4 linked regions of the Diceros bicornis minor genome follow. Each later gene encodes a partner of the first gene's protein in a complex. Links are inferred from orthologs where the notes say so. Each region holds a gene or a part of one and is shown on either strand. Other genes may lie near its edges.

What was found.
Region 2: the proteins of KL (region 1) and FGFR4 are in contact, whole or in part, in a cryo-EM structure (PDB 7YSW), measured with the Homo sapiens proteins. The link is inferred for Diceros bicornis minor from reciprocal best matches to the Homo sapiens genes KL and FGFR4. Residues at the interface, in NP_004786.2 of Homo sapiens: Ser539, Gln540, Phe541, Thr542, Asp543, Asn545, Val546, Tyr547, Leu548, Trp549, Asp550, Val551, His553, Ser554, Lys555, Arg556, Leu557, Ile558, Val563, Thr565, Arg568, Tyr571, Val573, Ala576, Gln579, Pro580, Glu625, Arg628; in NP_001341913.1 of Homo sapiens: Asp266, Gln282, Leu284, His286, Ile287, Ile289, Gly295, Ala296, Asp297, Gly298, Phe299, Pro300, Tyr301, Val302, Gln303, Val304, Leu305, Lys306, Asn311, Ser312, Glu314, Leu318, Tyr319, Leu320, Arg321, Asn322, Asp327, Thr332, Leu334, Leu341.
Region 3: the proteins of KL (region 1) and FGFR3 are in contact, whole or in part, in a cryo-EM structure (PDB 7YSU), measured with the Homo sapiens proteins. The link is inferred for Diceros bicornis minor from reciprocal best matches to the Homo sapiens genes KL and FGFR3. Residues at the interface, in NP_004786.2 of Homo sapiens: Ser539, Gln540, Phe541, Thr542, Asp543, Asn545, Val546, Tyr547, Leu548, Trp549, Asp550, Val551, Ser554, Lys555, Arg556, Leu557, Val563, Lys566, Arg568, Tyr571, Val573, Ala576, Pro580; in NP_000133.1 of Homo sapiens: Gln286, Leu288, His290, Val291, Val293, Gly299, Thr303, Pro304, Tyr305, Val306, Thr307, Val308, Leu309, Lys310, Glu320, Leu324, Ser325, Leu326, His327, Asn328, Val329, Glu332, Asp333, Thr338, Leu340, Phe347, His349.
Region 4: the proteins of KL (region 1) and FGF23 are in contact, whole or in part, in a cryo-EM structure (PDB 7YSH), measured with the Homo sapiens proteins. The link is inferred for Diceros bicornis minor from reciprocal best matches to the Homo sapiens genes KL and FGF23. Residues at the interface, in NP_004786.2 of Homo sapiens: Phe377, Lys385, Leu389, Glu390, Pro392, Trp417, Phe418, Ser420, Lys429, Tyr432, Tyr433, Lys436, Phe437, Arg468, Ser471, Ile472, Arg556, Arg693, Asn694, Met695, Thr696, Tyr697, Ile735, Val752, Phe755, Asp756, Asn782, Asn783, Leu785, Ile812; in NP_065689.1 of Homo sapiens: Leu39, Met74, Ala80, Val88, Arg91, Leu166, Ile167, Phe169, Asn170, Ile173, Arg175, His177, Asp184, Ser185, Glu186, Arg187, Asp188, Pro189, Leu190, Asn191, Val192, Leu193, Lys194, Pro195, Arg196, Ala197, Arg198, Met199, Thr200, Pro201.

What each region holds. Positions count from the first base shown.
Region 1 is NC_080748.1:15,775,763-15,782,956, forward strand, and holds the start of KL (klotho), read left to right. Parts: upstream 1-4,187; coding exon 4,188-5,006; intron 5,007-7,194. UniProt on the Homo sapiens protein: May have weak glycosidase activity towards glucuronylated steroids. However, it lacks essential active site Glu residues at positions 239 and 872, suggesting it may be inactive as a glycosidase in vivo.
Region 2 is NC_080740.1:90,307,539-90,315,498, forward strand, and holds the start of FGFR4 (fibroblast growth factor receptor 4), read left to right. Parts: upstream 1-4,948; 5' UTR 4,949-5,038; intron 5,039-7,661; exon of another isoform or gene 7,662-7,716; intron 7,717-7,960. UniProt on the Homo sapiens protein: Tyrosine-protein kinase that acts as a cell-surface receptor for fibroblast growth factors and plays a role in the regulation of cell proliferation, differentiation and migration, and in regulation of lipid metabolism, bile acid biosynthesis, glucose uptake, vitamin D metabolism and phosphate homeostasis.
Region 3 is NC_080747.1:1,167,758-1,175,172, forward strand, and holds the start of FGFR3 (fibroblast growth factor receptor 3), read left to right. Parts: upstream 1-4,403; 5' UTR 4,404-4,544; intron 4,545-4,927; 5' UTR 4,928-5,029; coding exon 5,030-5,138; intron 5,139-7,415.
Region 4 is NC_080756.1:57,137,431-57,145,255, forward strand, and holds the start of FGF23 (fibroblast growth factor 23), read left to right. Parts: upstream 1-4,818; coding exon 4,819-5,014; intron 5,015-7,825. UniProt on the Homo sapiens protein: Regulator of phosphate homeostasis. Inhibits renal tubular phosphate transport by reducing SLC34A1 levels. Up-regulates EGR1 expression in the presence of KL. Acts directly on the parathyroid to decrease PTH secretion. Regulator of vitamin-D metabolism.

The sequences.
Region 1 (7,194 bases):
CAATTCTTGACAATGTTCTTCAGCCATCTCTTACCAGTGGATTCATTCATTAATTCCACAAATATGTGTGTAGCACCTACAATGTGCAGGCATTATTCTAGATGCTGTAGATACTGCAAAGAAAAAGCCAGATGCCTATTCTCATGGAGCTTACATTCTAGTTGGGGATAAAGGAAATAAACAAGTAGACAAACAATTTGAGATAGTCATAAGCTCTGTGAGGAAAATGAGACAGGACATTGTCATTGAGAGAGACTGGGGGTAACTAATTTGGAAGGAGAGGTCAAAGAAGGCTGCTCTCAGGATGTGGCTTTTGCTCTGACACCTGACCAAGGAAAAGCAGGTGGTCCAGTGAACAGCACCTTGGAGACAGTGAACAGCCAGTCACAGCCCCTGAGGTTGGGAGCCACTTTAGCTTGTTCCAAAGACAACCAGGAGGCGAGTGTATCTGGATCAGAGTAGACAGTGGGGAGTGTGCTGTAAGAGGAGGGCAGAGGTTGTTGGTCTCTTGTTAATTGTTCCATTCCCAGTGCCTAGAATAGGGCTTGGCACAAAGCCAATATTTGTTTAATGAGTAAATGAAGGTAGAGGCTCTGATGTGATATAATGATAAAACTACTGAAGATTCTTTCTGGTTTGACCCTACCTACCTTTTCAGTCCACTATTTCCTCGCACAGTCAAATAGACATTATTTTTCTTTTTTACCACAAATACACTGTGAAAACTTTTTTCTGCCATGTTTTGCTTCCCTATTATCCTTGCCTCCAGGTCTCCACGCAAGTTTTACTCTTTAAAACCCAGATATTGTCGCATCTTCTCTGTGAAACTTTTCCAAGCAATTCAAAATAGGGTAATTTCTCCTTCCTCTGAATTTCTTTAATAGCTAGCATGTGTGTCTTTTGTTAACACTCAACATAAAAAACTAAACAATTAATTTGTTAACAACTTTCTTTGTCCTGTGTCTCCAATCCAGGACTGTCTTGAGGGCAGGGGTTGTTGTCTATGTCTTGACATCTTAAGCACCTCCCAGTTGCCTTGCGCATGGTTGTTGCTCAGAGAGACTGCTGTTGACGATCTCAGTACCTCCCCATAGATGCTGAATGTCTGTGACTGGTGAGCTGAGAGCTCGTGTGGTTGGTGTTGTGTTTGGGCCCATGTGAGTCAGCGAACCTCCTTCTGCTCCCTCTGCAGGGGCGGGGTCTGGTGGTCCCAGGTGCACAAGGAGAAGAACGGGTGAAAAGGGCCTAGAGGAAGGAATGTGGATGATGGTCAGCCTGATGACCACCTTTAGGTTGTTGAACATCATCACACCACAAAAGGCAGTAAGTAAATTTAAAAATTCCTTTCCTAGCCAAATACTGTATGATTTCACTCATATGTGGAAGCTAAAAACAACAAGAAGCAAACACATAGATATAGAGATTAGCTTGGTGGTTACCAGACGGGAAGGGGGGAAGGGGGCGGGTGAAAGGAGTAAAAGGGCACACGCATACAGTGATGGATGGCAATTAGACTTTGGGTGGTGAATATGATGTAGTCTTCACAGAAATCGAAATATAATGATGTACACATGAAATTTATATAATGTTATAAACCAATGTTACTTCAATTAAGAAAATTAATTTAAAAAATTTCCTTCCTTTTGATGCATCAATAATCTCATCTTCATATTCAAAGTACAGCAAGTAATAATCTCTTATTTGTGGGAGAACAAAGCTTTGAATGAAACCCACATTTTAGATGTTTGAGGTGGCTGTGAGAGATAAGAACCAAAGTAAACCGAATAAATGAGAAGCAGTAGTGGCAGTTATTCACACTTCAGGAATCCAGGACTTAATAACCATGAACTGAACCTTGAAAAATGGCAAGTTCTGGAAATAAAGTTTAATTATCATGTAATCTTTATTATTGGGTTAAATTAACTATCACCTGGCAACATCTCTGCAAATGTTGAAAGCTTTGATGTCCAACTTAGGAGATACATGTACTTTATATCCCCCTCAGAGAGATGAACTTCAAGTGTGAAGCGTTTAGTCAACTTGGTCCTTCTTTTTAATCACTGCTCTAAAAAAAAATCCTCTTTTTTTATTCTTGTAAAATATTTATTTTATTATATTTTATATGCTAAATAAAAGTAGCCGTAGATATAATCTGCCCTGAGCCAACAGACCATACATCAATTCATGAATACTTAGCCGAAGGTATTTTCCATGAGACCCATGAAGCATTTCTAATTGAAACTTAACAAGCTACTATGCAGCAAACATTCTCATCTTCAGCTCTAGAAGGGAAATATGATTCTGCATGCAGACATAGAAGCTTTTTAATTTAGCTGGAAGAGAGTGTTTGTGACTGTGCAGTTGTGTGGTGTAATTTTTTTTAATTGCTGAAGTGTCATTGTTTGTTATTTCATATTTATTGAAAAATGTAAATGTCACATGTAACAGAATAGCAATAAGTCTTGTTCCAGCCTGATGGCTTAATCTTACTAATCATGCTAATATATGCTAGCTGGAGATGGCAATATTTAATAAAATATTGGAACACATTTGTTGTGCTTACATTTTAAGGAAATTAAAAAGTACCTTCATCTGCAACATTTAAAACTTTATTGATTTTAAATATGTATGAAACAGCGCAGAGATGATCACTGGAGGAAAATGGGTGTACCTCTGTGAGGATCTTAGTCATTCAACACATGAGCACGTGTGCCGGACTGAGGCACACCGTTCTGGAAAGAGAAGCAAAGATAGTAGCAAGATCTCACATTTATCTGCGCTTTCCATTTTGGGGCATCTTTGCGCACTTTTTTTTTTTTCGTTTGAGCTTCACAAGCCTCTAAGGTGGCAGAGCAGACACAGTATAGATGAGGATCCTAAGGCTAGGAGAGACTGTATCCACAAAGGCGAAGTCCAGGCCTTCCTCTCCTCATCAAATGTACATCAGTTATTCACCAATCTTATATACACACATTCAAATGGACGCTGTGCCTCCGTAACTTCTGTCAAAAGCGCTCTTTGGCGACTGGAAAAACGTCACGACTCTGTTTTGTCGTAAAGGGTGGGCGTGGTTGCTTGGGCTAAATCCCTCCGCCCCTTTCCCTTCACAGTTCCGGTGGCATACGTGGGATCCAGGGTCCTCCAGCTCCAGCACAGCAGCGTGCACAACTTTGCCCAGATAAGTTACTTGCTGAAAGCTAAAACGTGATTATTCATAAAACAGATGCAAAAGGATAATAAATGTGAATGACAGTCACTCAAAGTCGAAACCTTGGTGTTTTGTTTTTTGTTTGTTTTTAGAAGAACAATCAACAACTGTCATTTGAAGTTCACCAAGTAATTCTGCAAGATCTAATTCAAGAACAAGTACTGGTTTGAAATGGTTAAAAGATAAGAGTAAGAAGGACAGTACAGCAAAGTTTCAACACAACCCATACATCTCCTCTGTCTTACTCCAAGGCTTCCTAGATTGGAGCCTGGAGGACGGGCCATCCAGCCCTGCGCGAGGGGGGTGGCTCCCCACGCGAGCATCTGACCCAAAGACCTTAAGGGAAAGTCCGCCACGAGTCCTCTCACAACATTCCAAGTTCCGACCTAGCTCTCCTCATCGTGCCCTCCCAATACGCTTTCAGCCAACTCCTAATCGGCTCTAGCAATGTCGATCTAAAGCTTTTCTCGGCCTCCGAGTGGGAGAAAAGAGGAAGCAGGTGCTTCCCGGCCGGCGGACTCCGCGAGGGCAGGCAAAGATGCGCCCAACTCGGGGCAAGTTGGTTGGCCGCCTTCCCTCCTCGACGCGCACCGGCTCCGCGGCTTCTTCCAGGAAGGAGCGCGGATGGGAGAGAGAAGGCGGCGCGGAGAGAACTTGCGTCGCCGAGCCATCCTCAGCGGCTCCCGGGCGCAGCGAGGAACAGGTGCCTTTTCTCCGACGTCCGGGAGTGGCGCCTGCTGCACCTTGCCCGCTGTCGCGCCCCCTCCCGGGACACCCCATCGCCCTTTGCGCCCCCGCCCTCCCCCAGCCCGTCCCCCCCGATTCCAGGGTAGGGGAGGCGCCGGCTCGCAGGTAATTATTGTCAGCAGGGCCCGCCGGGGAAGCGGGGGTGGGCGCGCCGGCGGGGGGCGGGCGGCGCGGCGGGGCGCGGGCATAAAGGGGCGCAGCGCGGCGCCCCAGCGCCCGGCTCCCGCGCAGCATGCCCGCCCGCGCCCCGCCGCGCCGCCCGCGGCCGCCGCCGCCCCTGCCGCTGCCGCTGCTCCTGCTGCTGGCCCTGGGCGGCCGCCGCCTGCGCGCCGAGCCCGGCGACGGGGAGCAGACCTGGGCCCGCTTCGCGCGCCCTCCGGCCCCCGAGGCCGCGGGCCTCATCCACGACACCTTCCCCGACGGCTTCCTCTGGGCCGTGGGCAGCGCCGCCTACCAGACGGAGGGCGGCTGGCAGCAGCACGGCAAGGGCGCGTCCATCTGGGACACGTTCACCCACCAACCCCCGGCGCCCTTAGGCGGTCCCCTGGTAGCCGGCCTACCGACGGGCGCCCCCTCGCCGTCCCCACCTGCCACCGGGGACGTGGCCAGCGACGGCTACAACAACGTCTTCCGAGACACGGAGGGGTTGCGTGAACTCGGGGTCACTCACTACCGCTTCTCCATCTCGTGGGCGCGAGTGCTCCCCAATGGCAGCGCGGGCGCCCCAAACCGCGAGGGGCTGCGCTACTACCGGCGCTTGCTGGAGCGGCTGCGGGAGCTGGGCGTGCAGCCCGTGGTCACCCTGTACCACTGGGACCTGCCCCAGCGCCTGCAGGACGCCTACGGCGGCTGGGCCAACCGCGCCCTGGCCGACCACTTCAGAGATTACGCCGAGCTCTGTTTCCGCCACTTCGGCGGCCAGGTCAAGTATTGGATCACCATCGACAACCCCTACGTGGTGGCCTGGCACGGCTATGCCACAGGGCGCCTGGCCCCTGGCGTCCGGGGCAGCCCGCAGCTCGGGTACCTGGTGGCGCACAACCTCCTCCTGGTGAGTTCGAGGGGCCAGGCGGAGGGTCACGCGGGGAGAGGGCCCCTGGAGACGCCAGGGGCAAGAGGGGTGCCTGAGCCTCCAGCTCAGACAAGGCTCCATTTGACCAAGTTTGTGAGGTCACCTAGAATTGCCCCCCGAGGGGAAATGAACAGCTTGGGCTTCCCTTGGAAGGCGTGGAGTTGGGAATGGGAGGGAGATCCCGCGTTGGGCGCGCGAGTGAGTGCCCTTTGGCGCACATTCGTCAAAAAGAAATTAGAATCAGTTTCTTCAGTGAGAGGAGGGAGCTCCTTTCTCTGGGTCTAGGGGAATTCCTAGAGGTGAGGCGGGGAGAATTTACGAGTAGTAGCTACAGGGAGATGAGGAGGGATGAAAGACACGAGTTTGTTCGGAAGCCGCACAAATAGCATTACTCTGCTAGAGTTTGTGGTGATGTCATGAGTTCAATGTAAATCCTGTAAGATCTGTGTTGCTTGTGGCACAAGTTCACACTGCAGCAAATGCGAAGGTGTCAAAATCCCATCTTCTGGGAGAGTTTAAACTGTCTTTGGGAGTTCCTTCTGTGGCAGGGGACTGCTGCATCCACCAACTTGACTGAATCATCAGGAGTCTGAAGACTCCTTACACATTCTTAAGCAAAGCTAGCCATAAAAATACAGAAACAGCTACAGGGTAATGTAGATTGTGTCTTACAACAACTGTATTTCCAGGATGCTCTCTCCAATTGAAAGGATTCCTCGGGGATGAGATTATTAGCTGACAAAATTGATTTTAACACCCTTGTGTAAAAGGCTTAATACATTTTGACAGCAGGAAGTACTGACATGCCATGATAAAGTTGTCTCTCAAATAATTCTTCCTCCTTTTTCTCCTTTACTTAGTGTTCAAGATTAGGTCCCATTGATTTGGGGGATCATTTATAATAATGTCAGTGTTGGTACACTTCATAGAGTTTTGTATCATGAGAGAATATTTTATGTGTATGTGCAGACATTTGCATGAAACTTTAAATGGGTAACTTCTGGTACTGTATTTTGGTGATTTGTGGGCCTACTGGAAGACCTATTTTTAAATTTAGAATTAAATTACATATTTTGAACAAATTCAAGACAAAGACCACTTCTGCACACTTATAATTGAAGCCATAGGTAACTGAGGCAGAACAGTGCTGGGCTGTTGAGCTGACTTAGTGCTCTGAGCTGCCGGTAATGTTGTAATAATGGCTAAATTAGATTGTATGTTAGCTCCACAAAAACTGTTTGCTACAGATCATAAAAGAATGTTGGACTTTGATGAAAAAATAAATGTGATTTTAGTGATTTCCTTTTGATATGTATCTTTTCATTAAGATACTTTAGAGCAATGGTAATAAACTTTTTCAGTCTGTCAGTCCTTTTAAAGAATCAAGACTCCAAACACCACCTGTTTATCGTTGATGATAGAAAAACTATGGGAAGAATTGGCTCCTCTTTTGAAGAAAACATAAGCAAATTTCAGTTCATACCAGAAACAAATAAGAGATTTGTGGACCAGCTGGAGGACCTAAGAGACCATTTCTGCAAAATCACTACTTTAGATTTAAGTCATGCAAATTCTCTTTTTAGAGTGCATGTAATAAACTCTGTATGTATACGGAAGTCGTCAGTTGTTATTATAGTGACTTATGTGATCATTTCATTTATACGATAAGGAGTTGGGACTGAGGAGCTTTCTGGTACTCTGCTATTTTAAATAGCCAACATGCTTTTTATTCGTGTGCCCACTCTCGGCCCTTTGATTAACTTTTCAGTTATATTTCTGTATCCTTACAGAAAAAACTTGCCAAACACTAACCATCTTTCCCAGAAATGCAGTGGACTTTGTATTCATAAGAAATTAGTAACAAGTGGATCCTTGGTTTTGCTGATGCTGCAAACAAAATGCTAGTTGCTGTAAAATATTAATTTTGCTTTCGAATTTCTTTGGTTTGGAATTTAGTCATTCCTGTATCTTAGGAAGAAGTAAGTTCTCATTATCAAAGAAGGTATCTTAGTTTTTTCGTATGAGATATTTTCATCCTGTTTTCAGTGTTCTTTCTTGGTATATGTGTTGGGGGGAGGGAGATAGGGAAGTTTTGACCTTATTTGAAAAGATAAAACATGATCTGCAGATTTTGGTAATAGAGCATTTTAGCGGGGGCTTAGATATT
Region 2 (7,960 bases), on another chromosome or scaffold:
TTGAATCTGGACTGGCCTTGAGACTTGCTTTGATGAGAGAATGCAGTGATGTGACATTGTGCAATGCCCAAGGCTAGGTAGGACTCAGACCTTGCAGCTTCCACTCTTGCCGCTTGTGAAAGGAAGTCTGGGCCAGAACACGTGGAGGTGAGAGACCACGCGGAGAGAAAGGCCAGCAGCTAGCTCCATACATGTGAAGGAGGCCATCTTAGACCCTCCAGCACAGTGGAGCCACCAGCATAAGTGACCTCAGGAGAGACCAGCAGAACTGCTGAGCTGACCCCAGCTAATCCACAGAATCATGAGCAATAACAAAGTGTTTTAAATCACTACATTCGGGGATGGCTTATTATTCAATAAAGGCTCCCGGAATCACCAAGTATAGTAACCATATCTTGTTTTGGCCTCCTGGTATCTATTTACCTTTCTTCCTGTAATAGGATTACCTTGAGGACCCCCACCCTCAGCTTATGTGGTCTGGGTGGGGATGACCTCTACCTTCCTGGCTTCTGCTAGAACTATGGGGAAGGAGTTGCTAAATGGGAAGATCTTGAGCCCAGAGCTGTTGACAGCCTTCTTTGTCACCTCTTGGGGAGCATCTGCCACAGAATAGAGCCATAGGGAAGAAAGCAGAAGAGAGAATTGGTCTTGATCTAGCTGTTCCTGAAGCCAAATCCACTCTTGGACTTTAAAATTGTATAACCCAATAAATTCACTATCTTGCTTAAGCCCATTTGAGTTGGGATATCTGTGAGTTGCAAATGAATGAAAATGTTCCTTGAGGGTCAGAGAGTTTGATAAGGGCTGAGCAGTCCCTGTCAGAGAGTTGTTAGGGTAAGACAGAGGTCCTTAAAGAATGTGGGAAAGGGAATTTATTTTTCCTCAGCCCCTACTGTATGTCAGGGCCCTGGAATGAGAGACAATCTTTGTCCTGGAGGACCTCATGGGTACAAATGACTCATTACAATTGTGATAAAGTGCTGCATATAATAGGAAGACTGAGCCTAAGGCTGGGAGTGGGGCAGGAAAGTTCCCCTGAGGAAGTGACTCAAACTGAGATTTGGAGGATGAATACAAGTTAGCCGGTGGGTGAGGGGAGAGAGGTGAAGGGAGATGTTCCAGGTAGAGGGAACAGCATGTGCCAAGGCCCTGAGGCAAGAAGATGCTTTTCACCTGGAAGGAGGGATAGTGTGTCACCAAGTAAGGAGAGAGACTGGCAGGAGCCAAGTTCCTCAGGACACATCAAGATTTTCAGCAAAAAGCAACAGAAACAAACTCCAGCTTGTTTAAGTTCACGGAACTACCAAGAGGACTAAAGAACTAGGGTCGGGGTACACGACCAGCATCCCCCTGTATCACATCACAGAACGGGTGCAGAAAGGACACCTTTGTCTCCACCAACACTAAGCACTGGACACTACTGCCTGTACCACTAGCCCAGCCAGCCTGGAGACTGGACAGGCTCCCAGTGCCCCATGCCCAAGAGCTCAGTCCTGTTACCATGGCCCCACCAGGGAACATTCCTCCTGGGCCTCCCTAGCCCAACTCCTGGGCATCTTTGGTTTTCTGGAATGGATGCCATGATTTCGCAGAACTGAGCCTTAGCTGGAAGAGAGATTGGAGGAGTAGCTAGCATTTTCGGCTTCTGTCATGAGAGGTGAACTCTGCCACATAAAATGGGGATATTCCCAAACCTAGAAAAGGGTTCAGATGACAAATGCCAGGGTAAGAGCTCGTCTTGTGGTGGTTCTAAAATATGTCTGCAAAATTTTTTATATTCCTCTCTTCAAGAAGTCAAGTTTCATCTCCTCTCCCCCTACCCCATTCCCTGCCCCCATGAGGGCTGTAATTAGTGACTCACTCCTGACAATTAGAAGAAGGTGAAAATGATTGAGTGTGACTTCTGAGAGGAACTTGTGCAAGACAGCACAATGTCAGTCTCCTCTTGGCTCACCAGCTCTGAGGGGCACCAGCCCACATATCATGAGGACACTCAAGCAGCCCTGTGCAGAGGCTCATGTGAAAGGCAATGGAGGTCTCCTGCCAACAGCTGGCCAAATATTTGTTACTTTAAGCCATTAAGTTTTGGGGTAGTTTGTTATGCAGTAACAGATAACTAATACAAGTTTTTATCCTAAAAGCAATGGGAAGGCATTGAAAGCTTTTAAACAAATAAGAGCAATGACATGATGAATTTGCTGACATGTAAACAGATGAATACTATGGCCTAGGAGCCGACAGAGGATAGTAGAGACACAGAGGAGGACGGGGTAATTTCTACTGGGGAGGACACTTTTTAGGAGCCTTTCATCTATAGAGTTAAAAAAAAAAGGTCAGATTAGCTTAAGAAAAAAATTATTTCACTCATATAAATGAAATGTTCAAAGAGGTAATTTTGGCCTCAGGCATGGCTGGATCCAGGCATGCTGCATCTCCTGGCCCTCTTGTTTCCTGTGTTGGCTTCATTCACAGGCAGGCTGTCTCAAGTAGTTCTAGGCTTCCATAGTCATACCTCAGTAACCTCTGAGCATGTTAGTTTCCCACTAGTTCCAATAAAAGGCCCAGACTGGCTCTCGTTGGCCCTGCTTGGGTCACATGTTCATCTCTGACCCAATCACAATAGCCTGGGGGATGGAATCTTCTCATTAGCCAAGTCCAGGGGCACATGCCCACCATAGGAGCCAGGGAGAAGTGTTGGCTCCACCCAAAACCCCAGCGGACTGGGAGTAGGAGAGAGCCAGGACCTCAAAGAAAATTGAGGGGCTGTTTCCAGAGAGAGGAAGAGGGTTTAGATGTCCAGTTCATGGTGGTCAGGGAGGGTCTCAGAGAAGAAGGAATGCATGAGAGGAGTCCAGAAAAAGGAATGGCAGGCACCTGGGGGGATGGCTGGAGGGAGCCAGAGAGGCACTGGCAGCAGCAAAAGCAGCAAGGGCAAAGGCACAGAGCTGTGAACATTGGGCATGCTCAGGAGGGCCTGCTGGAGCTCAGTGCAGCCGGAAACAGAGCACGTGTCTCTGGCGAGAGGGGAGACGGCCCGGGAGAGAGCAGCAGAGGCCAGGGGCCCTGAGTGCCGCTCTGAGGAGCTGGGGATGCCCGTGGGTGGTGAGAAGAGAGTAGTCAAAGCTGAGGGTTGACTCGGTTAGGTCTGTGATTTAAAGAAGCCATTGGGGCTGCTGATGAGCTTGGTGACGCAGAGACTGTTGGGTGCCTGCCCCACAGTCAATCAATCCTTCTTTTTACTCTATTAAAGCCCTGGTTTTGTTAGGGGAGGCAATGCGTCCAGCAGAATAAACATGCTTCCTGGCCATGTGTCACAGTCTGGCCAAGGAGATAAATAAAATCAGAAGTTGCTGGGTGCAGATTCAACCCTTTTGTGGCTTCTTTCTTCCTCCTGCATGAGCACAAATGTGATGGCAGGAGCTGAAGCCACCAACTTGAAACCATGAGGGAAAAGTCTAGAGAATTGAAGAGACTGCAACTCTGACTTCAGACCCACTTTCACCCACCTCCAGACTTGGGGCTAAGTGAGGGATGAATAAACCCCTGTTTTGTTTAAGCCCTTGTTATTTGTGCCCAAACAAAATCCTATGTGGTCCAGGTGAGCATTAGGCAAGATAGAGAAGGGTGAGGGCCCCTCTGGGGCTTGTTTCCTGATTCCCTTCAGACCACAAACCCTCTAGCACTTCCTGCCCAGCCTCTGCCACTTCCCAGGTGTCCTGGCCCCCTCCCTCCTCCAAACAAATGTGCATGCCAAGATCCAGGGGATGTGAGGTTTGTAGGCCCAAGTCTAGAGAGAGCTGAGTCTGGCAAACCATGAAAGCCCCAGACACTCCCTGTCCAAATAAGCCAGGACATGGGCCCACAGTATCTGGGACCAGGGAACAAGGGGACCAGGGGAGCTGCTGAGATGCTGGGTAGCACCAGGACTAGCCCAGAGAGAGCCTCAGATCCCTCCTAGCCCATTCCCCTCCATCTGGCTTGTTCTGAGGGGCCTCCCCAAGAGCTCTCCCAGGCTGCCGACATCAACGCCAGGCTCCCGGCCTCCACCACAATGCCCTGGGCAGCCTGCAATTCATGGCTTTGTTGTCTCCAGAGTAGAAATTCGACATAGATGTGCCCAAGGGGTGGGGAATGCGGAGATTTGAGGGCTGGAGAGGGTGACCCTCACATTCTTCCCTCTTGGTCACAGGAGTGAGTTTCCCATACCTTCAGGTGGGTCCCACCCTGGACCATCGTTGTTAATATGAATATCTGCCACTCTTTACTGAACATGGCTGTGTGCATTAAGCTTTATATGCAGCACCACACTGAGTCCTCACAGAAGAGCCATCATTCCCATTTTATAGAAAATGAAACTGAAGCTTAAAGTTAAGTGACTTGTCCAAGGTTACAAAGTTTTCAGGATTCAAACCCACATCTATCTGCCTCTAACACCCAATATTTCACCACTCAGTTGCTGTCAACGTCACCTCAATTTTAATGAGCCAGGCCAGGCCCCCCCGGAGCCTGTGGGAGAAGCCAGGATAGAAAAGGGTTGGAAAAAATGGTAAAGTAATAACAACTGTCAATTCTGAGTAGCCACTGTATGCTATTACCCTGGGTAACTTTTTCTATATTTCAAAACTTTCTGAAAATACAAATTGTTTTAAAAGAAAGAAATGAAGGAGAGAAGACAAGAAAGCGCAGGACTGGGTCAGAGGCTGGGGCCGGGCTGGGGCTGGAGCGGGGCCGGGCAGGGGCTCAGGGCAGCCCTTCCGCACAAGAGCTGCACTGTTCCAGGGCCCGGCTGCCATCCAAGAGCAATACAGTAGGCACCAGGCAACGTCGGCCCCCTCCCCCCAACTCTGCTCCCAGGCAGGTGAGGGGCGGGGCATGGCCTCAGGAACCCCTCCTGGCCCGGCCTGGCATTCCAGGAGCCTCGGGCCTGGTGCTTCATAGGTGCCCCATCAGTACTGCAAATGGGCAGGGAGAGCAATACCCAGCCGCAGCCTCCACACACCCTCCCCTTCAGGTGAATCTCCACCTTCCAGGGTCACAGGTAAGGATGGGGGCAAAAAGTGGGCCGATGTGTTAGCATCCACAGTCTCAGCTCTGTGGACAGTCACCCTGAGCTCTCTCTCTTTGTCCCAAATGATTAGGGTTCAATCTCAGTTCTGTTCACTTGCTATGTGAATTCAGACAAGTCATTCCATTTGCCTGAGCTTCTGTTTCCTCACCTGCAAAACAGAGCTAAGGACTCCTACCCTCATTTGGCTGACGGGAAGATCAAAGGACTTAATGCCCATATACTGCCTGACCTTGTATGATGCCTGGTATACAGGGGAGCTCAGTCAAAGCAAGGACTTCTTCCCTACTTCCTGTTCTGGTGAAACCCATTCCCACCTCTTAACTCATTCACTTCTTCCAACACCCCTGGGGAAAAGGGGGCAGGAGTGTGCCCATTTTCTGGATGGAGAAACTGAGGCAGAGGCAGGCTAAAGGCAGGATCTTAGAATGGCAGGCTTCTGAACCCCTGCTAGGGGTGTGTGTGTGTGTGTGTGTGTGTGTGTGTGTGTGTGAAAGTCTTTGAGAGAGAGACTGTAAATGCAACTGGTGAAAGATTGTTAACCAAAGAGTGAGCCTGTGACGGGCAGACGGGCTAGGATTCCTCTCCCAGACAGCCTTGGCATGCCTCCTTCTGGGTTCTGCTTACTTATCTACCTCTCCCCACAATGCCAGCAGCTCCTGGAAGGGTGGAGGCTGGGTCTGATCACTGCTTTATCCCCAGGATTTAGAACAGTGCATCCCACATATTGAACCCTCAATAAACAGTAGACGAGTGAAGGAGTGAATGAATGACTCTGTGACAGAGCGTCAGGCTCTGCAGAGGGTCAGTGTGAGAGGCCGTGAGTGTGGGAGGGGGGCTGAACAGGGGATGTGGGGTGGAGGGGTGAGGTTGCCAGTCTAAGGGTCTTGTGTGTCTCAGGGGGCAGGGAGGTTGCACGACCTGGGCTATGAAAGCCTCTACTCTGCCTTTGGCTCAGGCGAACTGGGAAAGCGCCTGGAAGTTGAATGAAAGCTGTGTAGGGTCCAGCTCCTGCTGGCAGCTCACCCACCCCCAACAACCACATTCACTAAAGGGAGCCAGCAGGGACCAGAGGCAGGGAGCTGAGTCTCTCCAGGAGTCCAGGAAGCCTGGCGAGGCCCCTCTGGGCAGGAGGCTCCCATTTGCTGCGCATCTCCAGTGCCAGGAGCCTCAGCCTGCCCGAGTGCTCCAGTGAGGAAGGACCCTGGATGAGGGGAATCAGGACAAGCTGTTCTTAAAAGTTAGCCAATTGTCTGATTTATCTTTGGGAGGAGGCCATTCTTTAGTTTGAGAAGGAAAAGAAAATCACTTTAATGCGCCTTTTAGTCATACAAAGGAAAATCCTCTATCCCATTGGGAGTAAGAGTGGAGAAAGCGGAGACCTCTCCTCATAACAATGGGAACGGAAGCTGCTTCCCCCAGGGCAGAGTCTCCACCAGCCAGAGGGCTATGTGGGAAGGGGAGCCTGAGACCCCAGGGGAGGGGTTTCCTTTCTCCTCAAGGAACCTTCAGAGGAGTAGAGGGCTGGGACTTGAGGTGAGGGTTGTGCAGAAGTCAATGGTTGGCTGGCCTCCTGTTTGGCCACTGTCAAGATGCTCAAGTGCTTCCAGGTGAGGCAGACCTGAGCCATGTGGGACAGAGCGATTCCGGCCCACCCACTGTGTGCCAGGCACTTGAGACACAATGGTGGGGTCTGCAGGGAGTTCCTGCCTTCTGTTTACAGAATTAACTCTTTAGTTACAATTCTGGAACGTGTCATGAAGAAATAATGGGTCCTAAATAATCACGGCTAACACTGCAAAGCAAGTGCTATATGTCAAGCAGTGTTTTAGAACAACAGGCTTACACATACCAACATGTCTACTTTTTGCGACCATTTTGTGTGTGTGTGTGTGTGTGTGTGTGTGTGTGTGTGAGGAAGATTGTTCCTGAGCTAACATCTGTGCCAGTCTTCCTCTATTTTGGTTGTGGGATGCCGCCACAGCATGGCTTGATGAGCGGTGCCCGAGGTTCCAAACCAGCAAACCCCAGGCCACGGAAGCGGAGGGTGCAAACTTAACCACTACGCCACTGGGCTGGCCCCTGCTACCACTTCTTGAGGATACTATCATCACACCTGTTTCACTGCCGAGAAGAGGAAGACACAGAGATGGAGTAACGTCCCAAAGCCACTTGTGATGGTGCGAGATCGGAGTCCTGCGATGTGTGATCTGAACCACCTCCCTCCCAGCTTCTTTCTCCATGCTCGCCGAAGAGAAGCCACCAAAGAGGAACGTGTGGGGCCAGCCCGGTGGCGCAGCGGTGAAGTGCCCACTCCGCTGCGGCGGCCCAGGGTTCGCAGCTTCTGATCCCGGCGCGCCCCACATAGGCTTGTCAAGCCACGCATGGCAGCGTCCCATATAAAATAGAGGAAGATGGGCACAAGGTTAGCCCAGGGCCAATCTGCCTCAGCAAAAAAGAGAGGAGGATTGGCATCAGATGTTAGCTCAGGGCTGATCTTCCTCACGAAAAAAAGAAAAGGAAGACGGTGGCAAGTCCAGAAGGCTTCTCCGAGGAAGCGAGCTGAGACCTAAGAACGAAACGAAGCTAGCCAGACCTAGAGGAGAAAGAGCATTCCAGGAAGCAGGCACCACGCGCGCAAAGGCCCAGAGGTAGGGTGGGAGCAAGGAAGAAGTGAATGAAGGACTCGTCTGGAGATGTGGGCAGGGCCAGGTCACGTCAAGAATCTTTATAGGAAGCTGTTGGAAGGTTTTAGAGGGGAGGTTGTGGTTGGTACAGTCGGGTTTGTATTTAAAATACCAATCGGAAGGTGTGCAGAGGACGGACAAGGATGAGGGCAGAGGGGGTCTGCTAGCCACTGTCCCGCGATTGCGCAGAAGGCAGAGCAGCGAGGCT
Region 3 (7,415 bases), on another chromosome or scaffold:
AGGATCTGAGGTCTCGCAGTCTGAGTGAACCAAGGCGCAAAAAGGCGAGAATGTTTGGACTGAGGCTGTCACAACACATCCAAGAAGACAGCATCCCAACAGCACATGATTCATGGTGTTGCCCTTTTTGCTCAGCCTGCCAGGAAGCTCAGAGCTAAAATTAAGGATCTTGTACAGTAGCTAGTGTTGGCCAACAGATTTTGGAATATTTTCTCTTCTTCATGTTCTTTAAAATTTCATTTCTGTTATAATGAGCAAATCAATTGTGCTTTTTATTTTAATCCTCCTCAAATTTTCTGAGAGTAAATTAAAACGGCACGAATTACAACAGCCACAGCCTTTCTCCAATCTGCTCTTTCTTCTTTGGCGGGAGGGGATCAGCCAGCCCAGCTCAGTGGGGGTGTTGAGGGCCCCCCCCCTCCATCCCGTGGTAGCCTGCCCTCCCTGAGGCCCAGCCCTGTGCCCTTCCAGCAGGAGGGGTAGCAGTGGTTTCCAGAGAAGGCCGGGATGCATGTTGAGAGATGGGGCGCTCCCAGAAGGAGATCGAGCAGCCCTCCTGGGGGGTCCCAAGAGCCTCCTGGAAGGGTGGACTGGGCTGAGGAGACTTGAAGCTCTCTTGGGGCCTCAGCTTCCCCCATCTCTGCACTCAGCCTGTGACAGGGCAGAGGGAAGCTCCCCACAGCAGCCCCACCTCTGGGCCAGGCACTCCATCCCGGATGGGGCGCTGAGTTGGAGGCTTTGTTTGGGGGCTCCCCCTGCCCTGCGTGCCAGGCCCAGTGCTGGCCTTGATGGGCACCCATCGGGTACCAAGACATCCGCTGCCTACCAGGAGTGCTGTGGATAGCAGGTGGGATGTGGATTCACAGCCACACAGGAACGTCCCCACTGCACACCTCACTGCCACGTCCTCAGCATCAGCCCAGGCCCGGCAGCAGGAGGTGAGGAGGTGTGGATGCTGGCCGGCTGCTGACAGCCTGCCATGACCCCTGTGCTCGGCACACTGCAGCCGCTCCCCTCCCACGGCATCCCCTTCTCGCTCACCGCACAGGCCCCAGCAAGCTGGGCCGCCCAGCTCTGAGTCACCAACGGGCTGGGCCGGTCAGCCCCCCGACTCTTGCCGCGCCCTCAGCCTCCCACACTCACCTTCACTCAGGACCCAGGGGGTGTGGGCCTTGGGAGACGGGGTGGGTGTGGGGGGAGTGGACAGGGAGACGTGAACACTGAAGGGGCGTCAGGCAGTGTGGAAGTCCCTTGCAGGCAGGGCTGGCCAACCCAGGGACCCTTCCACCACCACTGGCCCTCAGCAGGCTCTCCACCCCCTTTACACCTTGCTCACCTGTCCAGGGGGCCCAAGGAGGTCCCATCTCAGCAGAGCGCCAGGAAGACAGAGCCAGGTAACACTGCAAAGGGTCTTGGGGGAGATGCTCCATCAAGGGGGCTCTGAGCAAATAGTGGCTACTAATGGCTAATTGATAGAAAGCATTGCCAAAATTGGAAACGGTGCAGAAGGTATCATGAACAACAGGCCTCGCCCCGATGTCAAGGGAAGGCCTGTGAAACAACACCATGCTCCATTCCAGTTGACCATGTTGCCTTGGAAACAATAATTGTGAACAATAAAATCATTTGTCAATAACAATAACAATGCCTTCAAGCAATGCCCTCCCCTGGTGGTGGGGGTGGGCACAAAGTGGGCAACAACTCCTTGGGTGTTAGTAACGGGCAGTGCTCAGACCCTTTGGAAGGAATTTGGCAGAATCAGCCAAGAGCCATGAAAATGCTCTTGACCTTTGACCTAAATGCCACCAGACAGTGCCCCTGGACCACTTCAGACTGTGGGCGGCACCAAAGGAACCAGCCACCATGGGGTATATGGAGGACAGAGTGGGGGTCCCCAAAAGATAGGTCCACATCCTGACCCTCAGAACCTGGGAAAGTGAACTTATTTGGAAAAAAGGTTTTTGTGGCTGTCATTAAGTTAAGCTCCTGAGACAGGAGATCATCTGGCATTATCAGGGTTGGCCTGACATCCAATGACAAGTGTCTTTATAAGAGACAGGAAGTGGAGATGGCTGAGTGACTATGGAGGCAGAGATTGGAGAGATGTGGCCACAAGCCAAGGAACCCCTGGAGCCACCAGAGGCAGGAAGAGGCAGGAAGAACTTTCCCCTAGAGCCTCCAGAGGGAGCACGGCCCTGCTGACACCTTGATCTCAGAATTCTGGCCTCCAGACTGTGAGCGAGTTTGTGGTAATCGTCATAGCAGCCCTAGGAAAAGAATACAGGGTGTGAAGTACCCGGGGGGTCACCCCAGGCCTGTTACTGGAGGAAGAGAGAGGCTTATCCCCTACCCTGCAGGCCTGAGAGGGAACAGGACACAAGTGGACAAACCCACACAGAAGCTGGAAAGCAAGGGAGCCTGCGATGTCGTGTGTGGGGTCAGGCTTGTGGGGATGGAGGGGAGAAGGGGTGGGGGGCACGTAAGGAACAGCTAGAACAGGCCCACGATCCCCCATGGGCACTTCTGCCAAGGAGACAGAACTGAGGGCCATGAAGCAGAAAGCTGCTTGCACAAAGATGGATGGATGCTCATCTCTGAGAGACCAGGGCACGCAGGACACCCTTCTTAGGGGGTCCAGGCAGGGGCTGTGGGCACCGTCCTGGGAGAGGACCCACAGCGGACGATGCAGAGCCCTTCTTGGGCCTCAGAAGGGTCCCATGGGAGACCATCCCTCAGGTGGCCCCTCCTCCCTGCCCCACCACAGGCTATATCTTGCCACAAAGGAATCTGGAGGGCAAACCTGACCCAGGCCCCCAGAGGAAGGGGGCCAAGAGGGACAGCAGTCCACACCCATCGGCATATTAAGTAACTGATTAGTTAAGTGACTGGTTAATAGATTAGAGCAGAATGTGCCACTGTGGCCCCTGGGATGATACCCCAGGAGAGGACCTAGGTGGGGGTGGCCTTGGAGGGGTCTGGACAGCCCACTGGGGTTCAGCAGGCCCCTGGCCAGTCTGGGGGACACAGGCTTGACCAGAGCAGGCACCAAGAGCGGCATATGGCAGAGGTGCTGATCTGCCAGGTGGGCACAGAGGCTAGGAGTGAGGACTACCTGGGGGTGGGGTCCTTCTAGGGCCCTCCAGTCTGGCCTCAGAGGCTGGAGTGTCTCCAGGCTGGCCTCTCGCACGGCTGCTGCGCCTGGAGCTGCGGGGTGGCTTGAGCAGCCAGTCACAGAGAGGCTTTCATTGCCCATTTCCTGAGGAGCAAACCAAGTCCCAAAAGCCACAAGCCAGGTGGGCCAGAGGCCCTCGGGTGGGGCAGCCCCGAGCCTTGCCCAGGTGTCACTCTCTCCCGTCTCTGGCTCCTGTAGGCTCCCAGCCCCCCTGGGCTTGTGTGGAAGTGGGAGAAGAGCCCTCTTCCTTGTGAAGGTGTGCACAGAGGCCAGTCACACTGAGTCCTCCCTAGCTTGAATCTGTCCCACGCTGCAGTGCACCAGGACCTGGCACACCTCCGGCCAGCTCAGGCTCCCACCTTGTCCTTCCTCAGAGCCCTAAGGTTGGCCTCCCCTAGCTGGGGCCCCAGCCCCTGCTCTCCATTCTGATGCCTGGCAAGCACCCAATCCCCAAACTTATTTCCTCTTAGGGGAGCAGGAGTAATAACCCCCCTGGCAGAGAACTCAAGCAGCTTAGCTACATGTGTGCCACAGGTGCTTAATAAATGCAGCAGTGAGCCCACAGCTTCTGGGGTGCAGTCCCCTTGCATTCCAGCCCCAGGCAAACAGGCCGACCTGTCCTTCACCCCCAGGCCTTTGCATATACAGTTCCCCCGACCCGACCCGGGTGCCGTCCTGCGCTCCTCCACCTGAGATGGGCTGCCCACACCTCAGGGTTCAGCTGGAGCAGGTACTTCTCCGTGAAGCCTCTCTGACATGCTTCTCTCACCAAGACCACCCCTCTCTATGCCCCGGGGTTCCCCAGCCTGAGCCCCTGACCCACGGCGGGTGGTAACCTGGACTGCGCGCTGTGCAAATAGAGGCCTGCTTTCGGCCTCTCTGTGCGCCTGCCCAGCGCGGGGCCGCCCTCTGCGCGCGGCCCAGCGGTGCGACTGGGGCCCTCGTCCGCCCAGCTCGGGCTCCCACGCCCTCCGAGACCGCCCGGCGCCCCCGCCCGGCCCCGCCCCCTCTAATCCCCTCCGCGGGCGGGGGCAAGGAGAGTCGCGGCCCCGCCCCCAGACCGCCCCAGGGGAGGGGCATGTCCCCGTGCCCCAGCGAGTCGGGGCGGGCGTGGCCGGGGAGGGGCGTGGCCGGGGCGGGTCGGGCGCGGGCCGGCCCCCACTGGCTGCCGCGCGCCGGGCCGCCGGGGCTCAGTGCGCGGCGGCGGAGGCGGCGGCGGCGCGGGCAGCTGGCGCCGCGCGGTCCTGCTGAGCCGGGCGCACGGACACACCGGCGAGCCGACGGCCGGGGGACGGGGAGCAGGCGCTGGGCCGGCAGGCAGCGAGCCTGAGCGAGAGCCGCGCTCAGCGAGTCGGGCGCCGGCCGCCGCCAGGTTGGTGCGCGGGGGCCGGGCGAGCGCGGAGAGGTCCGGCGGGCGCGCGGCGGGGCCAGAGCGCGCGGCGGACTCGGATCCCGAGCGGTCTCTGCGGCGGGGCCCGGCCGGGGCGCGGGCTTCCCGCTCTGGAAAGTTTGCCGCCGCCGCCGCCGCCGCCCTGGGAGGGCTCTGCAGCAGCCAGGGAGGAAAGGGGGAGGGAGGGAGGGACCGCGGCGGGGAGGAGGCGGCCGGCGCCAGGCGGCCCGGGAGCCCTGGGCGGCGGCGGCGGGCGGGGCGGCCGGGGGTCGGAGGGGCCGGAGCTCCGGAGCCGGGCCACTGCCGCTTCCGCCCCTGAGCGCTCCGGCCCGCCTGGGTAACGAGCTGCCCGCCTCCTCCCGCAGACTCCCGAGCGGCGCCCTCCTCCCGCCGGTGCCAGAGCCGGGCCATGGGGGGCAGCATGCCCGCGCGCGCCGCCTGAAGACGCCGTAACTCCCGCCCCCGCGATGGGCGCCCCTGCTTGCGCCCTCGCGCTCTGCGTGGCTGTGGCCGTCGTGACCGGCGCCACTTCGGGACCCCCGGGCACGGAGCAGCGCGTCGTGCGGAGAGCGGCAGGTAAGGAAGGACTCGACGGGTGCAGGGAGGGGCCTGGGGCCTCACAGGCAGAGGCGTCTGGGCCCGAGAACGGGCGCCTGGGTGGATGGGGGGCGCCGGATCTGAGTGGGCCCGAGGGCACGCCCTGGGCTGGCACCACGGGACCAGTGTCTGGGTTTCTACCACCCTCCCTCCCCGGGGATCGCGGCCAGAGCTGGCGCGGCAGTTTGTGGGGCGCCTGGAGCCGCAGGGCTACCACCCAAGTTCGAAGCTGCGGCGGGGAGCTGGGCACCGCGGTGGCGTCCGCAGCCCCCGCCCCCGCGGTTCCCCAGTGGGGCGCAGCCTGTCCCTAGGCGCCGTCGGGAGGGCGCGGGGCTGCGTCTCCAGGATTCCCATTGTTGCTCGGCGGGTTCTGCACTGACGGAAAGTTCCTATTGTTGGTGCCTTTCCCTCGAACCCCCTTCGAGCCCCAGTTCATGGCCAGCTTCGGCCAAAGCCTGAGGCCGGACTTTGGAGGGAGGGTATGAGAGGGCGTCAGCGCACGGCCTGGTCCCTGCCCCCCAGTGGCCTGCATGACGAGGTGACACCTTCCAGTGCCTCCGTTTCCCCACCTTGCTCTCCTGCCCTGTGGATGAACGTGTCTGCTGCCTGGGGGTGCGCATCGAACGCCAGGCGGGGCGCCCGGAGGTGAGAGGGCGGATGTCCGAGAGACGTGGAGCCGCAGACCCCAGCTCGCGGTCAAGGTCCGGCGGGACGTTGAGGGTCTGTGAGGAGGGCCGGCGGGGCGAGGGCAGGGGAGGGGCGGGAGCGTGTCTTTGCTCCGGGCCCCGCCCCGCACACGCGCCGCGGTCCTCGAGGTGCGGCCGCACGCGGCCCCCCGCCGGCCCGGCCGAGCGCTCCGGTGCCGCCTCTCACACGCGCGGCTAGGCTCCCGGCGGCCGGGCAGAGGGGCGTCCTGGCCCCTGGGCACAGCCAGCCGCGGGGCGCTGGGAGGACCGGCGCTGGCGAGGGTGCTGCGCGCACCCCTTTGCCGGGCCGGCGGCCGCGTGGAGGGAGGCCTTCGCCTGGTGAGCGCACGCCCCACCCGGGCGAGACCCGAACAGCCGCTTCTTTGTACCTCGGCGCGGCCACAGACCGAGCATTGATGGCGGCCGCCGCGGCAGCCTCACGGGGAGGTGTGAGTTGAGAGGCTGCGGGCGCGCAGTGCCAGGGAGGCGGTGGCCTCGGGCAGGACGCAGGCAGATGGCGGCCCGCCCCTCCCCGCGCCCCCGCGCCCCTTTCTCCAGCGGCGGCTGCAGCCTCCGAAACAATGTCATTTTTTTATGAATGAACGTGGGCCGGGCGCTTGAATGTGCGTGTCATTCAGCGGCGTGACAGGGGCCGTCGGGAGGTCAGCGCGCGCTTTTACCGCCTGCTCGGGCGGCCCCCGCTTCCAGGGGCGCAGAATAGGCTGCCGCGGGGGGAGCCCCGCATTAGCATTCGCATTCAGATGAAGATATTACTCCCTACCGTCCAGGAATGTCAACTAGCCCCGGGGGAGGGGGCAGTGGGCGGGGCTCCAGACCCTCTCCTGGACCCCCTGTGGCTCACGGAGGGGTCAGTGGTCCCCTCCATCCCCCCTTTGGGCACTGACAGAGCCTGCGAATCCGGGTCCTGGGGCGCAAAGCCTGTGGTGCCCCACCAGATGCGGGCCTGGGGCAGAGCTGCTAGAGGACCCCCCAGGGGGCGCAGGTAGGGGGCACAGGGCCTTCTCCCTCCGCCAGAACTCGCCCCCCCAGCCGCCTTTGCAGTAGAGCTGGCAAAACAGGTAGTGAGTTGATAGGTCAATAAACTTAATCCGGTTCCTTAAGGAGACAGGCCAGGCAGTAAAAATACAAAGACGTCATGAAATTTACAGAGGTCCCGGCTGGCACTTTCCCGGGAAACATAAATGATGGAGCTGGAGCTGGCTGGGGTCAAGGACCGCAGGGAAGGTGTCCGCCACTGCACTGCGTTGGCCATCCCAGGCCCTACCAGGGCAGCCTCCATCTCCACAGGGGGCCATGTTCTTGGGCAGGGCCCCCCACCACCAGGAAGGTTGATGAGCGGCGGCTCCCTCTGTGGTCTGACCCCACCCAGCCAGGAGGGGTCTCTGAGGGGTGCAGGGCATTTCCTGGGAAGGCGCTGGCTGCAACCTCCCCCACCCCCTCCTCATCTGGGCTGGACTTTGAGCCCCACAGGCCTCTGGGTGGTTCATTAACCTGGGCTGAGCCCGAGGCTGGACTTCTGGCCTCTGAGCCCCTGCACTGAGCCAGTCCA
Region 4 (7,825 bases), on another chromosome or scaffold:
GAGATTGACCCCACGGGAGGTATCGGGTCTAGACTTCCTAGTCCACCTCCCAGGACTGTTTTGAGCATCAAATGAGACACTAGGTGTGAATGTGCATTGTAGGTTGTGAAGGGCTGGGCAAATCCACACTAAATTCTGCCCTGTACATTGTAAACACTTGGAAGACCAGGACTGTACTTTTTCATTCTTAGGCTTCTCTAAAGATTTTCTACAAAGTACTAGCCATAAAAATAGGCTTTCTCTAAATAGTTACATGTTGATTGAGTGGATATATTAGAACAAGAAAGAATCTGATTGCATATAAGGAAGCACATTTTAACTGAGTTAAATAAATTAAATACTGCATGGTAATATTTAATTTATTAATAAATTTATAATTAAGAAATAAATTTATTAATAAATTAATAATCATATTACCAGCTTCTGGTAAGACGCCGCAACCCACCAGGCTCAAACTTCCAGTTATCTGGTAAGTTTATGAATATTGACACGGATAGGTCGGTAATGACTGTTGATGAGAAGGCTAGGCATTTTACTGCTATTTACTTCACCCTTTTTAAAATAAGCCTCGATTCTCAAATGTGTAACACGAAACGTTGCCACCTGTTTTACACTTCACACAGAGCATAAAAGGTTTTTTTTTTTAATAAGAATAGCAAATGTTTGAGAGTATTTAATTACTGAGAATATTTAACTGAGAATAAGATATGGGAGTGGCATTTTCAGGAAGACTGTAGCACCTCCCAGATAACTTTGAAAAGAGAGGAAACAATCATTTGTCCTGGATGGCTTAGACACCCACCTGCCTGAACCTAGGGACCGGATGAGCCAGATGACGGTGAAACCGTTGTGGAAATGACGGAGACAAAGCATGACGAGGTCGCAATAGGGAGCAGAGGCCTGCCAGGTCCTACCATCTGCAGACGGAGCCTTCACACAGAGCCTCAAGAAGAAAAGGAAACCGTGAGCCACCCTAAGATCACCTCCCTGCTCCCGGTGCTCTTTCACCCTGATGCCTCCAACATGTTTTCATCACAGCCTCACAGCAGTCAAGACACGTTATATTTTGAAAATTGTTGAAAAGTCTTCACATGGAGAGAATGTGATCTGGGGAGATAATCCTTAGTACCTTCCCAGAGAGGACTGTGAGAGAAAGAAGTCAGAGGATAAGGGAAAGGAATGGGATTGTGGGAATATAGATTCCTATAGCCTCCATCCCATATTTAAAGCCTTGATTCTGTGGTTGTAAATGCAGGGACTGGACCAGAGGCCCCTACGCAGCCCCCCAGGGCAAATTTTCCTGAAGCCGGAGCAGTGGCTTGTGGGGCAGGCTGGAGAAGAGCAGGTGTCCCCACCTGCCACCTCCCAGGCAGCCACCAGGGCCCCAAGGCCAGCGATATTGAAAACCACAAACCACCAGCCTCCTCCCCGGGCTTCCTGCTCCCGTCAGTGTTTCATATTTGGCTCCTAAGGTCACACTAGCTCCCAGATCCTCCGACCTGAACTGTGACAGATGAATGCCCTCTAGATGCAAAGAACAGAAACCAACTTACCCTGGGCCCTCCCTTCCCTCACCATCTGATGCTTCTGAGAGATGCCACACCCACCAGGCTCAAGGATCAAAGGCACAGTGTACTGATTTGGTGTTCAGTACTAAAATTTCCTGGAAAGGACCGTTCACATCTTACCCTGCCCAGTTAGGCTGGAAATCCCAGAAGGGAGTGGCAAATGGAGAAGCGGCCTTGGTTTCTGTGTACTAATTCCAGTGCATGGTTGGGATGCAAAGTCTGTTTCTTGACAAGTACTTTAGCGTCATTAACATCTAGTGTGGGGGATTAGACTCTCCCAGGTAGATTTGAAAAAAAGTGCAAATAACTGGGCTTCACCTCTGCATGTTCAGTAGGTCTAAGATTAGTCCTGGGGTAGTTTCTGTGGTTCTAACGGGCAGCCAGCTTTGGAACCCTCAGGTAGGGAGTTCAACCAGGAGCTGGAAATTCTGCTGTCTGCATGCTGACAGGCAAATCCTCGTCTCTGCTCTCAATTTCCTATATCTCAGGTGGAAAGAATTATTCTAGTAGTGTTGTACCTTCTTTTACTCTCGTCAAGTGGGGAATGCTTCTCTCCTCCCCCATTCCCTTCATAAATAAACCTGCTCCCCTGGGCTGTCCTCTGCTTCAGATTCGGCTGCTAGGCATTCAGGGCTTCTTCCTGGAGGGAAGTCTTTGGAAGCGGAATAAGCTGGCACATCAGTTCTCTTTCCTAACAAGACAAGCTGAAGAGGCCAGGGACGGTCCCCCTCAATCAGCCCAGGAATGGAACGATGCCCATGCCCTCCTCCCAAGACACCTGCACTCCCGCCCCAGCGTGCCTTGGGGTGCTGGGAAACGCCCTGCCTGTCCATCCTACAAGGCTCCCTCGAGTCTCTCTTCCCTCCAAGCCCTCCTTAACCACAGTGTCCACCCACCGAAAACTCCCCCTTTTCTGAACGCCCTTAGCATTTCTTACACATCTAGTAATTCAGCTCCTCTCACAAGCGCCTTATATTGAACCAAGTTTTTCTCCGCTCAATTGTATTATAACCCCCTTGAGGATAAGTTTGTTCTGCTTTTTATTCCTATAACTCCCTCTTCCCTTCTCTCTTGCTCGGAGAAGTTTCTCAATACGTGCTGATTGTTTCACAAGTACTTCCCACCTCTACCACTCGAAACCAGAAGAGGAAATGTAGGGGTATCAATTGGCAAATGTTCCTGAATGATTTGCATTTCAATTCTGAAAGCTGGCTATTTCTTCGTTAGCTAAGATGTGGTACTATATTTATGAACCATACTGTGACCATTATGAAAGAAGACTGTCTTATACATAAGCATTTAAATGTCCTAAATCTTCTACCTAACCGGGGGAGACAACACTCTGTATCTTAGAGACACATCCTGGTTTTACTAGAGAAAAACCAAAGAGTACTATTGGTTTGTCAATGGCCCCGCTGCTCCTTGCACTCTCTTACCAGGCTCCTGGCTCTCGCGGCTTCGGCCCTAACACGCTGTGTGGGTTTATACATCCAGCGGTGCTTAGGAGCTCTGGAGTCGGGCTGCCCAGCTTCAGGCCCGACCTCTTCTGCATAGTGGCTGCACACCTGTGGGCACGTTACTTAAACTGTGGACACCAGTTTCCTCGTCTCTGTAAAGGAAACAGCAGCACCTCCTCACAGGGCTGTTATGAAGATTAAATGAGTTACTACAAGTAAACCACCTGGTAAGCTCTCAGTAAATGTTAGTTGTCACTGTGATTATTATTGCAGAAGACCTTGTCCTAGCTCTCCCATTTATTTGCTGCGTGACTTTGGACATACAAACCCCAAGATCTCCATTTCTTCATGTATAAGATTAAAATATTGATAATGCCTGGTGTGCCTATCTCACAGAGTTGCAGTGAGATTCAAATGAGCTAATATATGTGAAAATGCTTCATAAACTAGAAAAACTCGTACAAATGTAGGATAACAAATGGCACTTCTTTTTGCCTGCACCTGTGTGATCGCACATCCCAGTGTGCTTTGTATGACGGTTACTTATTTTAATCTGCCTCCTCCATTAGCTTGTGAGCTCCTTGAAGCAATGATCACATCTTGCTCCCCCTTCTCTCAACCATGATGCCTGATGCCTGCACATGGTATGTACTCAGCAAATGGGAAATGGGTAGAGTAGCAGTCTCCGTGTGCATATACGTTTCCAGTATGTGTTCCAGTAGTTTGCTCCCCGTTGGACTGCATGTGCTAGGACTATCCCCCTACATCAGAAGTAGCTTCCCAGAGGGCATACCTGTGAGCAGCATCTGCAAGAAAGCATCCAGGCCCAGGAGCCAGGCACCCAGTAGACACTAACTGTGGGGACATCCTGGCCTGCTGCTCTGCTCCTGGGACCTTCCTGGTCTCTGATCCCCTGTGCTCCGTCAGCAGCCTTCCAATCTTCATGAGGTCTCTGAATGAGTCTCCATAGTATTGGAGAGACAATAAGAGCAGTTTACTCTCCCTAGACAGTCCAAATTAGGGAAACTGAGAAATCAAATCCCAGCATTTCATAAAGCAGCAGTGACTTCAAGACCTTGTTTTCTTTCCTCCCATTTTGAAATCTTCCCAAGGAGGCAACGTTGGTTTTTGTGCCTCTGCTCACAGCTTCCATATCTTTATGAGGAGGCAGTCTTGGAGGATGCCATTTGCCTGATGGTGTCCTGTATTATTTCAGTATCCTTCAAAACACCCACCTAGTGCTGTGTACAGAGAGAGCACTGGATACATAGTCCCCGATTGGAATTAAAAGGACTGAGAAAACCAAAATGAGTAGACTCAATAGGAGATTAATTGCATAGAAGTCAGTTGACTGCATAGCTGAAGCTGGATTTTTTTCGGAACCGCTGACTGCCTTCACATTTCCTGGTGGAAGTTGGGACAGGTCAACAGACAATCCAGAGTCCGAGATAACTTTTGCCCACACATCATTCACTTTTTGGAGCGTTGGCTTGAAATTGAGGGGTGTGTGTGTGTCTGGAACCGACGTGCCTTCCGTGAGCCTCAGAGGTCTCTGCACTCTCTCCAAATGGGCTGATTACAACACAGAGGATGTGGACAGTGGAGTTTTTCCTGTTTGATGTCACACGGCTACCCTTTAAAAGTCCAAGGGGAAAAAGGAGGGAATCCAGCCTAGGATCCTCACGCCAGATATCCACAAGGAAGAAGAGGAGAAAAGGCCAGCAAGGCACAGCCTTGAGTGGAGGAGGCAGTGTCAGGTTTCAAACTCCGTGCCAGCCATTCAGAGAGTGGCGATGTCGGGGGCCTGCCTTGGGCTCTTAGTCTGCATCCTGTGCTCTGTAGTGAGAGCCTATCCCAACGCCTCCCCGCTGCTCAGCTCCAGCTGGGCTGGCCTGATCCACCTGTACACGGCCACAGCCAGGAACAGCTACCACCTGCAGATCCACAAGGACGGCCATGTGGATGGCACACCCCAGCAGACCATCTACAGTGAGTAGGGGCTTCATTCAGGCTGGGAAGAAGGGGGAGCTCCTCTGTCCATCCAGCTACAATGGACTTGGGGCTGCCTTGGGCTGGACCAGAAGACTAATCCAGTTTCTTGCCCAGGATCCACTTATGTATGTGTGTGTGTGTGTGTGTGTGTGTGTGTGTGTGTGTATTTTTACACCTTGGGAGAAGATTCTGCCACATCCCTAATTAGTGTTTACTGGTTTCTCCCAACATGAATAATTTCTATCTTAACAAAAATCCCTCTTCCCACACTAGCAGCCACTTTCTCTTTGTCCTGTCCAAAGAGTCAAAAAATGTACAGAAAGAAAGGCAAAGAGGCTGAGAGGAAAAGAAGCCAGGTAGATCAATAGACATCCCGTTTTAGCTCATGAACTTTGGACTGGGTTAGCAATGGAGGTTGTAAAGAAGATTCCTGTATCAGACCAAGGGTTAGAATAGATGAACTCAGGGGCTCTTTCCAACTCTGAGCTTCTAGTATTCTAGCCTTATAAAAATTCTCAGGAAAAATGTACTAAAGACAGACTGTTCAGGTATATTGTCTTGATGAGCCTGACCAAGTGCATGAATCATCCATGCACTCATCTGTCCATGCATCCATGCATCCTTCCATCCAACAGGTTTACTGGGGGCTTCAGAAGTACCCAGTTTGGTATGAGTTGGTGATTCATCTCTGTGGAGCTGAAAGTTCCACTCGGTAGCAAATTGAGCTAGTTGGGAACACCTTGGCAACATGAGACAACTGGAATGTTTTCAAGATTAGGTTTGTGGAAAGTTGGATCACAATCCACAATAATCAATCAATTAGCTATGATTCAAATGAGGGCCCCTTGGTGTGCACCTATATAAGGGATAATGAGGTGGGCGGGGGGAGAGATATTGAAAAAGACAAGGTCTTCTATTTTAGGAAAACATCTAAAAATCACTCTAAGGATAAGAAAAATGCAAACTGATTCAATATAGATCAAATTAAAGTAATGAAAGAGTAACCATAGTCTTTTAATTAAAGAAAACTTCTTATAGGAATAATGATTTGCTCTTTATTGTTGTACTGAATTAATCAGCAATTTTGCTGTGGCCTTTCTGTGTAAGGCATTCATTCTGCTAAGAATCAAAGGTCCTTAAACCTGGTGGCAAGATATATGCACATGCAAAGCCAAGAGTTCACACCCGTCCGGGTGCTCAATGGATGGTCATAGGAGATGAGAGGAGGGAGAAAAGGTATTTCCAAATACCAAGTGGGTTCCAGAACTCAAAGGGATATACTAGGATTCTAGAGTCAACATCTTGGAAGCCAAGTTCGAGTCATTAGCAATAAGTCTGGATACATTCGATGCATCCAAAGTGTTGCTCCTTTTATTCCATCGATATTTAACAGAACCTCCAATATGTCTGACATTGTGCAAAGCTCTGTGACTGCACAAGAAGACACAGCCCTTCAGACACCTCACGATCTTTCATCCCTTCTTGTCTCCCAGCTTATTATCAGACTTTTAGGAAATATAATTTTGCACCTCGCCTGGAGGGCCACTCTTGCTTCCACTGCAAGATGATAGGTGATTTAAAATGCGGGATAGTGGATTGTGGTAAATTATTGTGATTCCCATAGATGGAAAGGGCTTCATACAACTAAAGAATGCTTATAATACTTGTCTAGAATCATGGAATCCCTTCACTGAAAGGAACCCTCCAAAGACATGTCCTCCTGAACAAGACAAAGAGCACAGCAGTGCAACCTGCTGTGTGGGCTGTGAGTGGTACTGATTTGTAGAACTTTGCTCTCAAATATCCACCGGCGTCGGGCCCAGAGGAGGCACTAAGGACTAGTTGGACTGAATTAAAATGACTGAGAAGAAGCAAAATGAATTGAACTGATTTCAGAATTTTTTTTTTTTACAGAAATGTGATTTTGTTTTGTCAGGTATAGACACTAGCTAAGCATTGTGTCTCTGGAAATTAACACAAACATGGGGAGGGGAACGCAGGTCAGCGTGGTGGGAAGGAGACACTTCCTAGTTTATAACACCTTTTGTACTATTCAAATCAGTTATCATGTGTATTACCAAAAAAAAATTTATACACTAAGATAAAAAGTTACCAAAAAAGGAAAGAGGAAACACTGATGCGTATAGATGGGTGGCACAAGTATTTAACAGACTGGTGAAAGATTCTCCCCAAGGAATGTAAAACAATGCATTTACACTGATGGAAAGATGTGGGGTGATTTTTCCCCCTTAATTAATTATAAGTTTCCAGTGAAATCTGGTTCACTTGATTATGGTGCTTTAGTAAATTCCTGATTAATCATCTTTGGGTTTTGTGAAATTATCTGCCTACAAGATTCCAGGACCTCTCTTGGGACTGGCAGCGCTGATGTCATGGAGCCGCTCCAGTGTCTATGTCAGCTGCCCACTATGAATGAGGCCGCCCTCCCACGCCCTGTCATTCTCACCTTGTGGAAACGGCAGAAAGGAGATGCTTATTACCCCTGGTTAATACACTTCCTAGATCCTGATGTTTTTACTTCCTCGACCTTCCCCACTGGCACTTTCTTTACTTGAAGCTGAATTATCCTCGGGCTCTTTCTTTTGGGGAGCTCAAAGCACTTTATATCTATCATCTTATTTATCATTTACTGGCTATGAGAATAGAAAGGGGCAGATAAATTTCTACTTTTATAGCAGAGGTTGAGGCGAAATAGCAACAGTAGACATTTCTAGCATTTAGAAAGTGCTTTTATAGTGGATAAAAATATTATCTCATTACATCCTCAAGACAACCAAAGGAGGTAAA